Mus musculus: one gene and its partner. The protein of the gene in region 1 purifies or fractionates together with the protein of each later gene. This does not show direct contact. Links are inferred from orthologs where the notes say so. Each region holds a gene or a part of one and is shown in the gene's direction. Other genes may lie near its edges. The genes, in order: Fbxo22 and Kdm4b.

The links.
Region 2: the proteins of Fbxo22 (region 1) and Kdm4b purify together in Homo sapiens (affinity purification with western blotting; 3 studies listed by BioGRID, with this or other methods). This does not show direct contact. The link is inferred for Mus musculus from reciprocal best matches to the Homo sapiens genes FBXO22 and KDM4B.

What each region holds. Positions count from the first base shown.
Region 1 is NC_000075.6:55,221,708-55,225,018, forward strand, and holds the end of Fbxo22 (F-box only protein 22), read left to right. Parts: intron 1-1,532; coding exon 1,533-1,950; 3' UTR 1,951-2,726; downstream 2,727-3,311. UniProt on the Homo sapiens protein: Substrate-recognition component of the SCF (SKP1-CUL1-F-box protein)-type E3 ubiquitin ligase complex that is implicated in the control of various cellular processes such as cell cycle control, transcriptional regulation, DNA damage repair, and apoptosis.
Region 2 is NC_000083.6:56,324,631-56,329,079, forward strand, and holds the start of Kdm4b (lysine-specific demethylase 4B), read left to right. Parts: upstream 1-1,419; 5' UTR 1,420-1,599; intron 1,600-4,449. UniProt on the Homo sapiens protein: Histone demethylase that specifically demethylates 'Lys-9' of histone H3, thereby playing a role in histone code. Does not demethylate histone H3 'Lys-4', H3 'Lys-27', H3 'Lys-36' nor H4 'Lys-20'.

The sequences.
Region 1 (3,311 bases):
TCATAGAAACAAATAAGGAAGACTGAGTTTTTAAGGGAAAGGGGAATTCTAAGGTGAGGTTGAGGCACCTTGTTGTAAACAGTGTTCCATGGCCCTTGTGTGGAAGTCATCTTAAATGAGCTGAGACTAGCCTGGTGCTGAGATCTCTGCATATGCTGAGTACACACAGGAGGGACGATTGCAAGGAGGTGGGCAGCAAATGAGCAGAAGTCCCACAGTTGGACCCTGCAAGCTCATCTTTCTAAGCAATTACTTGAAGATTGAGTTCTTATGTCTAAAGCAAACTTCAGCCTCTTAAAGACATCTCTGTGGTTCACAAATTATCCTGGTTAGACTATAAAGTTGTTACATGGGCCAGGTCTTCATGGAAAAACTTGTCAGGCTCTAACCACTTGCATTGGAGGCAGGATCTCTCTGTGGCATCTCTAACCTTTTTCCCCCAGAGAGCAGCAGCTTATGGGTATATTACTAGTATTCCTTGGTCTTCGTTTTTGGGAAATGTATACCAGATTTTATTTTGCGTGTATGTATATGCCCCAGTGATGCTTGATAGCTTTGTTTCTTGTTACCCCAGAGAACTTTGCCCATTCTATAGAGTCAGTTGTTGATAAATGTCATAGGGACTTAAGGTGTATGTTTCTTCCCAGTGAGTAGTCAGTATAAGTTTTATAACTTAATGCATTTTCTTTTGTAAGGATAAAAGTCCCATTCATTAAAAAAAAGTCTTAACAGGGCTGATGCAGCACTTGTCACAAGAACTGACAACCTCAGTTCAATCCTTGGCCACACAGGTGACAAGAGAAAGGACTCCTGAGCGCTCCATCCAAATGCTGTCTGTGTAGACTGAGCACATGAGTGCAGGTGCCCGCAGAGACCAGAGAGGTTACTAGTCTCTGGAGCTGGAGTCACAGGTGGTTAGGAATCGCCTGATGTAGGTGCTCAGAACCAAGATGGGAGCTTCTGTAAGGGCAGGAGCTGCTCTTTCCCTGAGCCACCTCTCCAGCTATCCCTACCCCAAGTTGTGAAGCTTTAAAATTCAAATGAGTCAAATTTCAGGCTCAAAGCAATAAACCAGCAGGGAAGCTGAAACCTGCAGAGTTGAAATTACCCTCCATGATTACATTTTTAATATATCTTTTTCATAATTTAACAGTGGATGGGCTGAAGTGGAGGAAGGTGCATGCTTTGCCTAGGTATCGAGGGGTGGGACGTCAGTCAGTGACAGTGCTTGCCAACACCTCCACTGCAAAGCCATGTCTATGTGCACCTACCTACTAGGTTCCGTTTAGAATGGTCAGATAGCGAGTTACTGGGAACTACTAATCCAGGAGGAGCTTTTGTATAGTGTATTTGTGCCTGAAAAGGGCAGCTGCTTGCCTTTTTTGATCTGCCCTGTTTTTTAATAACAGTTTAATTTTACTCCTTGTCTGAGAGGGATAAACCTCAGACCAAAGCTTAGGTTGCCAAAGGCAGCAGATCTTTTCCCCTTAGTCAGTCAGGAGGTGTTGATGGTTTTCTGTTTCTATTTCCAGGAACCCTCTGGATATTGATGCCACAGGTGTGGTTGGACTGTCATTTAGTGGGCACCGAATCCAGAGTGCCACAGTTCTCCTCACTGAGGATGTAAATGATGCCAAGACCGTCGAGGCTGCTATGCAGCGCCTCAAAGCAGCCAACATCCCTGAACAGAACACCATTGGCTTCATGTTTGCATGCGTTGGCCGAGGCTTTCAGTACTACAGAGCCAAGGGGAATGTTGAAGCTGATGCATTTAGAAAGTTCTTTCCCAGTGTCCCCTTATTTGGCTTCTTTGGAAATGGGGAGATTGGCTGCGACCGGATAGTCACTGGGAACTTTATACTGAGGAGATGTAATGAGGTAAAGGAAGAGGACCTGTTCCATAGCTACACAACCATCATGGCTCTCGTTCACCTGGGAACCTCTAAATGAGCCGCCTCGCTGAGAGCACCTTTCACACCATGTAACTTTGGGGGTTTCTCTTTTTTAGGAAAATGGAAACTCGGGATCCAAATATTTTAAGCAAAACTAGCTATGTGTGTTTTGTAGCTTTGGGTGACGCTCTGAGGTCACTTTGGGATGATTTTTTTAATACATAGATGAAGGACAGCATTAACATTGTAAGCACACAAGTCAAGAAGTGAGGCTGTGGTTAGGCGCAAGCAAAGCTGCCGGGGCTGAACTGCCCCAGATTCTGTAGCCACTGCATAAGCGCCCTGCGAGGTTGAGGGCCACCAGGAAGGTGGAGGTTTAAATAGTGCTTGATGAACTTTTAGCAGAATCATGACTTAAGAAAGGAGAAAATTGCCAGGCGTGGTGATGCGCACCTTTAATCCCAGCACTCGGGAGGCAGAGGCAGGCAGATTTCTGAGTTGGAGGCCAGCCTGGTCTATAGAGTGAGTTCCAGGACAGCCAGGGCTACAGAGAAACCCTGTCTCGAAACCCCCACACACCCCCCCTAAAAAAAAGAAGAAAGGAGAATTAAAGAACTGGTTTGAGAAGTTTTGCAGAAGCTGTAACAAATATTACTGACTTTTTACTTTTCTGATGAACAGTCTGTTTTGTTACTGTATAAAGTCGTTCTTTTTGTGAGTTAGCTTTTTCCTCTTCATAGTAAAGAGACTGCAAGGGAACAGCCTTTATCACACAGTTCTGAAAATCATCACCATATTTTGTTTGTACACCAATAAAACATACTTCCCACTCAACTGGTGTTGTAATTATTGCTGTTGATAAGAGGATGAAGGATATAACTGGCTCTTAACAGTAACCCAGACTGAGGGGGAGGTGTGTAAGCAGCAGCCCCTCAGTATCCACGTTTACATTGCACACTTTACTCATGCCTGCCTTCCCAACAATGGCGTGACCTTTGTTTGCTCTGTTCTTATTGCTTGGAATATGGGCAGGTCACCTTGGACACTGCAGAGATGTCAGTACTCCATTGTGGTGGGGATCACAGAGGGATCCTGGGTCTCTTTACACTGTGTTGTTGGCCCCTCACAGTGGACCCAGGCTGCCTGCTTCTAGCTTGTGTTACAGGCAGAAGTTAACATGGACTTGTTGCAGGATGTTCTTACAAGGTAACATTTCTGTATTGTTCAAAGGTTTGTACTAATAGGACAATAGATACTTTATAAATAAAATCAAATACAGGTATTAAAAAAGTAATTGCTGGTTTGTCACAAAAAAACAAATGCCTAGAAATGCCAACTGCTGATACTTAACGAAGCTGCAAAAAATAATCACATTTTTTTAAAAAAAGTGATTTGAGCACAGTAGTGAAGGCATGCTCA
Region 2 (4,449 bases), on another chromosome or scaffold:
AAAGATGATGGTGTAGTCCAAATTCTGAGTACATGGTGACTGGCGTGGGTGATGGCTGTTCTCTTTACATTGCACAATGAAGAGCAATGGAAACAATTCAAGACTCGTCTAGCTTGGAATAATTTATGTGTAACCTTGAGAGTTAGTGAATTAGCAACAGACTAGGGGGGTAGAACAAATATCTTGGGTGCACAAAGAACCTGCTCTAAGGAGGGTACTTTCCAGATGTTAGATATTAAAGTAGAAGGATTTCTAGTCTACCCCATAAAACAGGAATGTTGTCACCTCTGCTTGCTCAAGTATAGAAGCCGTAATGGTAGTTTGCAAAGCAGGCTCTGGATAAAAGAGCTTGCAGTGAAGCCTAACAACCCAGATGACAAACTCCAGAGTTGCCCTCTGACCTGTAGAGGTATATACCACACATATATACAAAATAATAAAAATTTAAAATTATAAATGCATATTGATGGGGATGATATCAGACCTTAACTAAATGCTCTTGAGTGCAGGGTGACTGGTGTGGTGATGCTGTTCCCTTCACATCGCACAATGAAGAGATGGAAACAATTGTGTGGAGCAGGGGCTTGGACACCTGTAGCTGGAATTTGGGTGCCCAGGCCTCCAATTTGCAATACGCTGAGCTAGAGAGTAGGACCTAGGACATTTTGAGAAGTAGATAATTGAATCCTCTTCCACTGAGTTATTGCAACGCTTTCCATGGGTACAGCTATCAGTTCAAGGTGGGGGGTGGGGTGGACCAAGTCGCGCACGTTTTAGGGAACTCATGAACGTTTGGGGAGGGCAATATGGAACGCTTTTGAGATCCTCTTACCCTAGTTCGGCCTTTTGCAAAGCTGGGCTCAAATTCTGACTCTAGATCTAGAACTACTGGGTTTCGAACCACTGTCTCCGGACCCAGAGCTGATGTTGTGCAGGAAATCACGTACTCAGCAGCCGCCCGATCACAGGGTGGAGTCTGGAGCAGCAAGACAGCGATTGACATTCAGTCGCAACCATTCGGCACCCAGAGACCGGTACCAAACACCAATCCGCGTTTGTCTCAGTAAAGTCTGAGAACGCGCTTGTCAATCTGCGTGAGCTCGGGGCTATCCTACACCCGACCGCAGCCGGATTGGCTGTGTGCATCTTGACGGGCATGCTTCGTACCCACTGAAAGCTGAGCCGGTCACTAGGCACGTGAGTGGGTGCCGGCACGTCCTCGGGGTTGGACCAATGAAGGGAAGAAATCGAGTGCCTGCTCCCGCCCCAGGTCGCGGAGGGCGGGGCCGCTCGGTGTTGATGAGGGGAGGGGTGGAGCTGTCAGCCGCCACCAATCAGCGTGCGGGCGTGGGCTGAATGCCCAATGGCGGCCGAGTAGGAGCCGTCGCCCCGCCCCTCTGAAGCTTCGCCTCCCCGCCCCGGGCTCTTGCTGAGGGCTCGGCCGCGAGCGAGCGAACCATCGAAGGAGCAAAGAGACCGGGCGAAGCTCGGAGCCCAGTGGCCGGGGCGAGCGAGTGAGGGCCGGCGGGGGCGACGCGAGACGGCCGGGCACGCGCCGCTCAGCCTGCTGTCTGCGGCCCGGGCCGCGCGTTGCGCCAGGTGAGTGAGTGTGCGATCCGTGGCGGCGCTCAGCAGCTTCCAGGCCCCTTTGGGGGGCCGCGCGGCCGCCATGCCTGCCCCCACGCCGCACCTTGGGCCGCCGCGCGCACTCCAGGCCGAGGCTTTGGCTGCGGCCTACTCGGCTCCTCAGGGCGGCGGAGTACGCCGCGCTTTTGTCCGTTCGGGCGAAGCTGCTGTTTGTTGATCGACAAAACGATTGTGTGCCTGGGAAAGGAGGGTGTGTTTTTTTGGGGGTGGGTGGGGGGGGTTGACGATGGGGCCGGACAAAGGCGGGGCGGGGGCGGGGCGCCGCGTCCCCTTTCCAGGGCACAAAAGATGACAGCGTGGGTGGCCCGGTCCAGCCATCCCTTCAACAACCCCAAATCCTTAAAAATAAAAAACCCACTCCAAGTCCCTGCTCCCCGCCGCTTGCATTTTGGTTCCCTTTGGTTTGGAGCTGTCCCCTCCAAACACTCACCCATCATGGCCTTGCAAACTTGACCCCCGCATGTCCAGAATCTGTAAATCACCATATAATCTGCATTTTAAAAATGAAAATAAATAGTACACGTATCTGCTATTGCAATGGCAGCCTTTCCACCTCGCTTCTGTACCCTGGTCTCTTTGCTTTCCAGCTCCCTTCTTTCTGTAAGCCATGAAATGTGCAGTTTTCCGCGTGCACACTAGTCCAGGGCATCCCGGCAGACAGGGAAGCTTGGCAAAGCTGGGGACAGCTGGGGGTGGCTTTCCTACTGCCATATCCTGGGGGGTTTTGGGGGTTCTGTTAGGGGTTTCGGTCAGCCAGCTGAGAGTATAAGGGATTCCAGGTTTGCAGATTTGATGCTGTAACTGGTGCGGTTTGGCCATTACGGTTCGGGCATCGCGGTTCCTTGTCCCATCTGTCTGAAAGGGGGGGGGGCGGGGCGGAGGATGGCATCGCTTTAATAATTAACACCTGGGGAAGTGTCTTGCCGGAGTAGTTGCTAGTTTTTTTCAACTATGGAGAGGATGGATCCGGTATGTTTCAAAAAGCAAAAAGAAAGAGTGTATCTTTCCCTGTAACCAAGTGGGATTTGCTCAGCCTGCAGCCTGGTGCCAGCACCTTCATAGGCGCTGAGGATCTTGGTTGCAGAAGGTTGGGGGGTCCGGGATGTCTCTGTGTCCCATTAGTTGTGTATCTGACAGTCCCCAGGCTGGAGACTGCACTGTTCCCCAAACAGCTCCTGCCTCAAAATGGGTTCATTACGTGGGTCTTCAGGGGCTCCTACCACTACCAGGAAAGGGCTAATCACTCTCTTTAATTCTCCAGTAATTGCTGCCTTCAGAGTCACCAAAAGGGCGTGTCTCCAGACTGGGCCAACCTTTTCTTCCCACCCTGCTCTAGCTGTAGTCAGCTTTCTTCTTCCCTTCCTTTTTTCCCCAAGCCTTGTGGGTGTTCTGTATCTAAACTTGTAGGGTCCCTATGCAAGACTCCAGTCAAACTTTTCATCCTCTCCCTAGGAGGGCAGGAAGCCTGACTGTCATGGGGTGTTTTGATGTTTGGGGTGGAAATGTCCTTGTGCCAGGTGCTCCATGTACCTGTGCATATCCAGGCGCACCTGTGAATGTGTGTGTTCTAAGCTGGGATTGTATAGGTCTGATTGACAAATGATTTTCTAATCCTTTCCTCCCGGGGAGAGGGCTGCTGAGGAGATATCATAGTACACTTTGTATCTGGAGACTCAGTTACAGTCTTGTAGATATTTGTCTGTAGCCTGTAGCCTGTCTCCTTCCCTGCCCCAGGGGCCCCTCTGTTTTCCCTGCCTGCCCAGCCCTTACTTAGACTTTCTGTTCTTGCTTCCCACCTCTGCTGGGCCCCTTCTCACATTGTCCTGGGAGCCCCAGCACTAGGTAGCCATCTGTCCCTGTGCTACCTGACACCTGTGGGGAGTCAACAAGCTGTCAGATCACTCAGGGGCCTGGGGCTCCTTGGGAGTGCTGGGAAGAGGCTGATCTGGCTAGCCCAGTATCCATAAGACAGTGAGGTGCTTGGGTATTCGAGTGCATGCGTGTGTGCTCACGCTTGTGGTGTAGAGGTGTGGGCTGTGATGTACTTCCTGATGGTTGTCTCTGGAACTGGAGGTGGGGTGGAGGGTTCAGGGCCTGGTGGCCTTGGGCTTGTCACTTGCTCCAGAAGCAAGATTTAGAGCCACCAGTCTGCCAAAGCCTCCTGGGAACAGGGGACAGGGAGTAGACTATAGCAGATGGCCTGCCTCTGGAGAGACCTGTCACTGCAGGGCCCATGGGGGGCAGGGACTGGGCTCTGCTCACCATACTTGGAGTTCAGGCTATGGTGGAATCCCAGAGGTCTGGATTGACATCCCTCCCTCAGCAGGTGCCTTTCCTGCTCTGTGCAGCATCCTGACTCCCTCTTTATCTATAGCGTTGGCCTCAGGTGGCCTTGAGGATCAAGAGCTAGGGGCCAGGAGTTTGGATGCTTTCTGCTCTGCACTAGTGTTCCCACTGGCTCAGTTCACTGTGACTTGGTCACCCCTGGGGTGGGCGTTCGTTGTACTAGATGTGCAGCTGGCCCTTACCCACACCTTGCTGGTACCTCACTTTCAGCCCTGTAGCTCCATCTGCCTATGTCCCAGCTACCGCTTCTCACTGCTCCCTTCACTCTGCCTTCAGTGACCAGTGGTTCTGTTTGCTCTTGCACCCCACTATTTCCCCCTATTTCTTTTTTTTTTTTTTTAATTTTTTTTTTTTTAAGATTCATTTATTATATATAAGTACACTGTAGCTGTCTTCAGACACTCCAGAAGAGGGCGTCAGATCGTGTTACAGATGGTTGTGAGCCACCATGTGGTT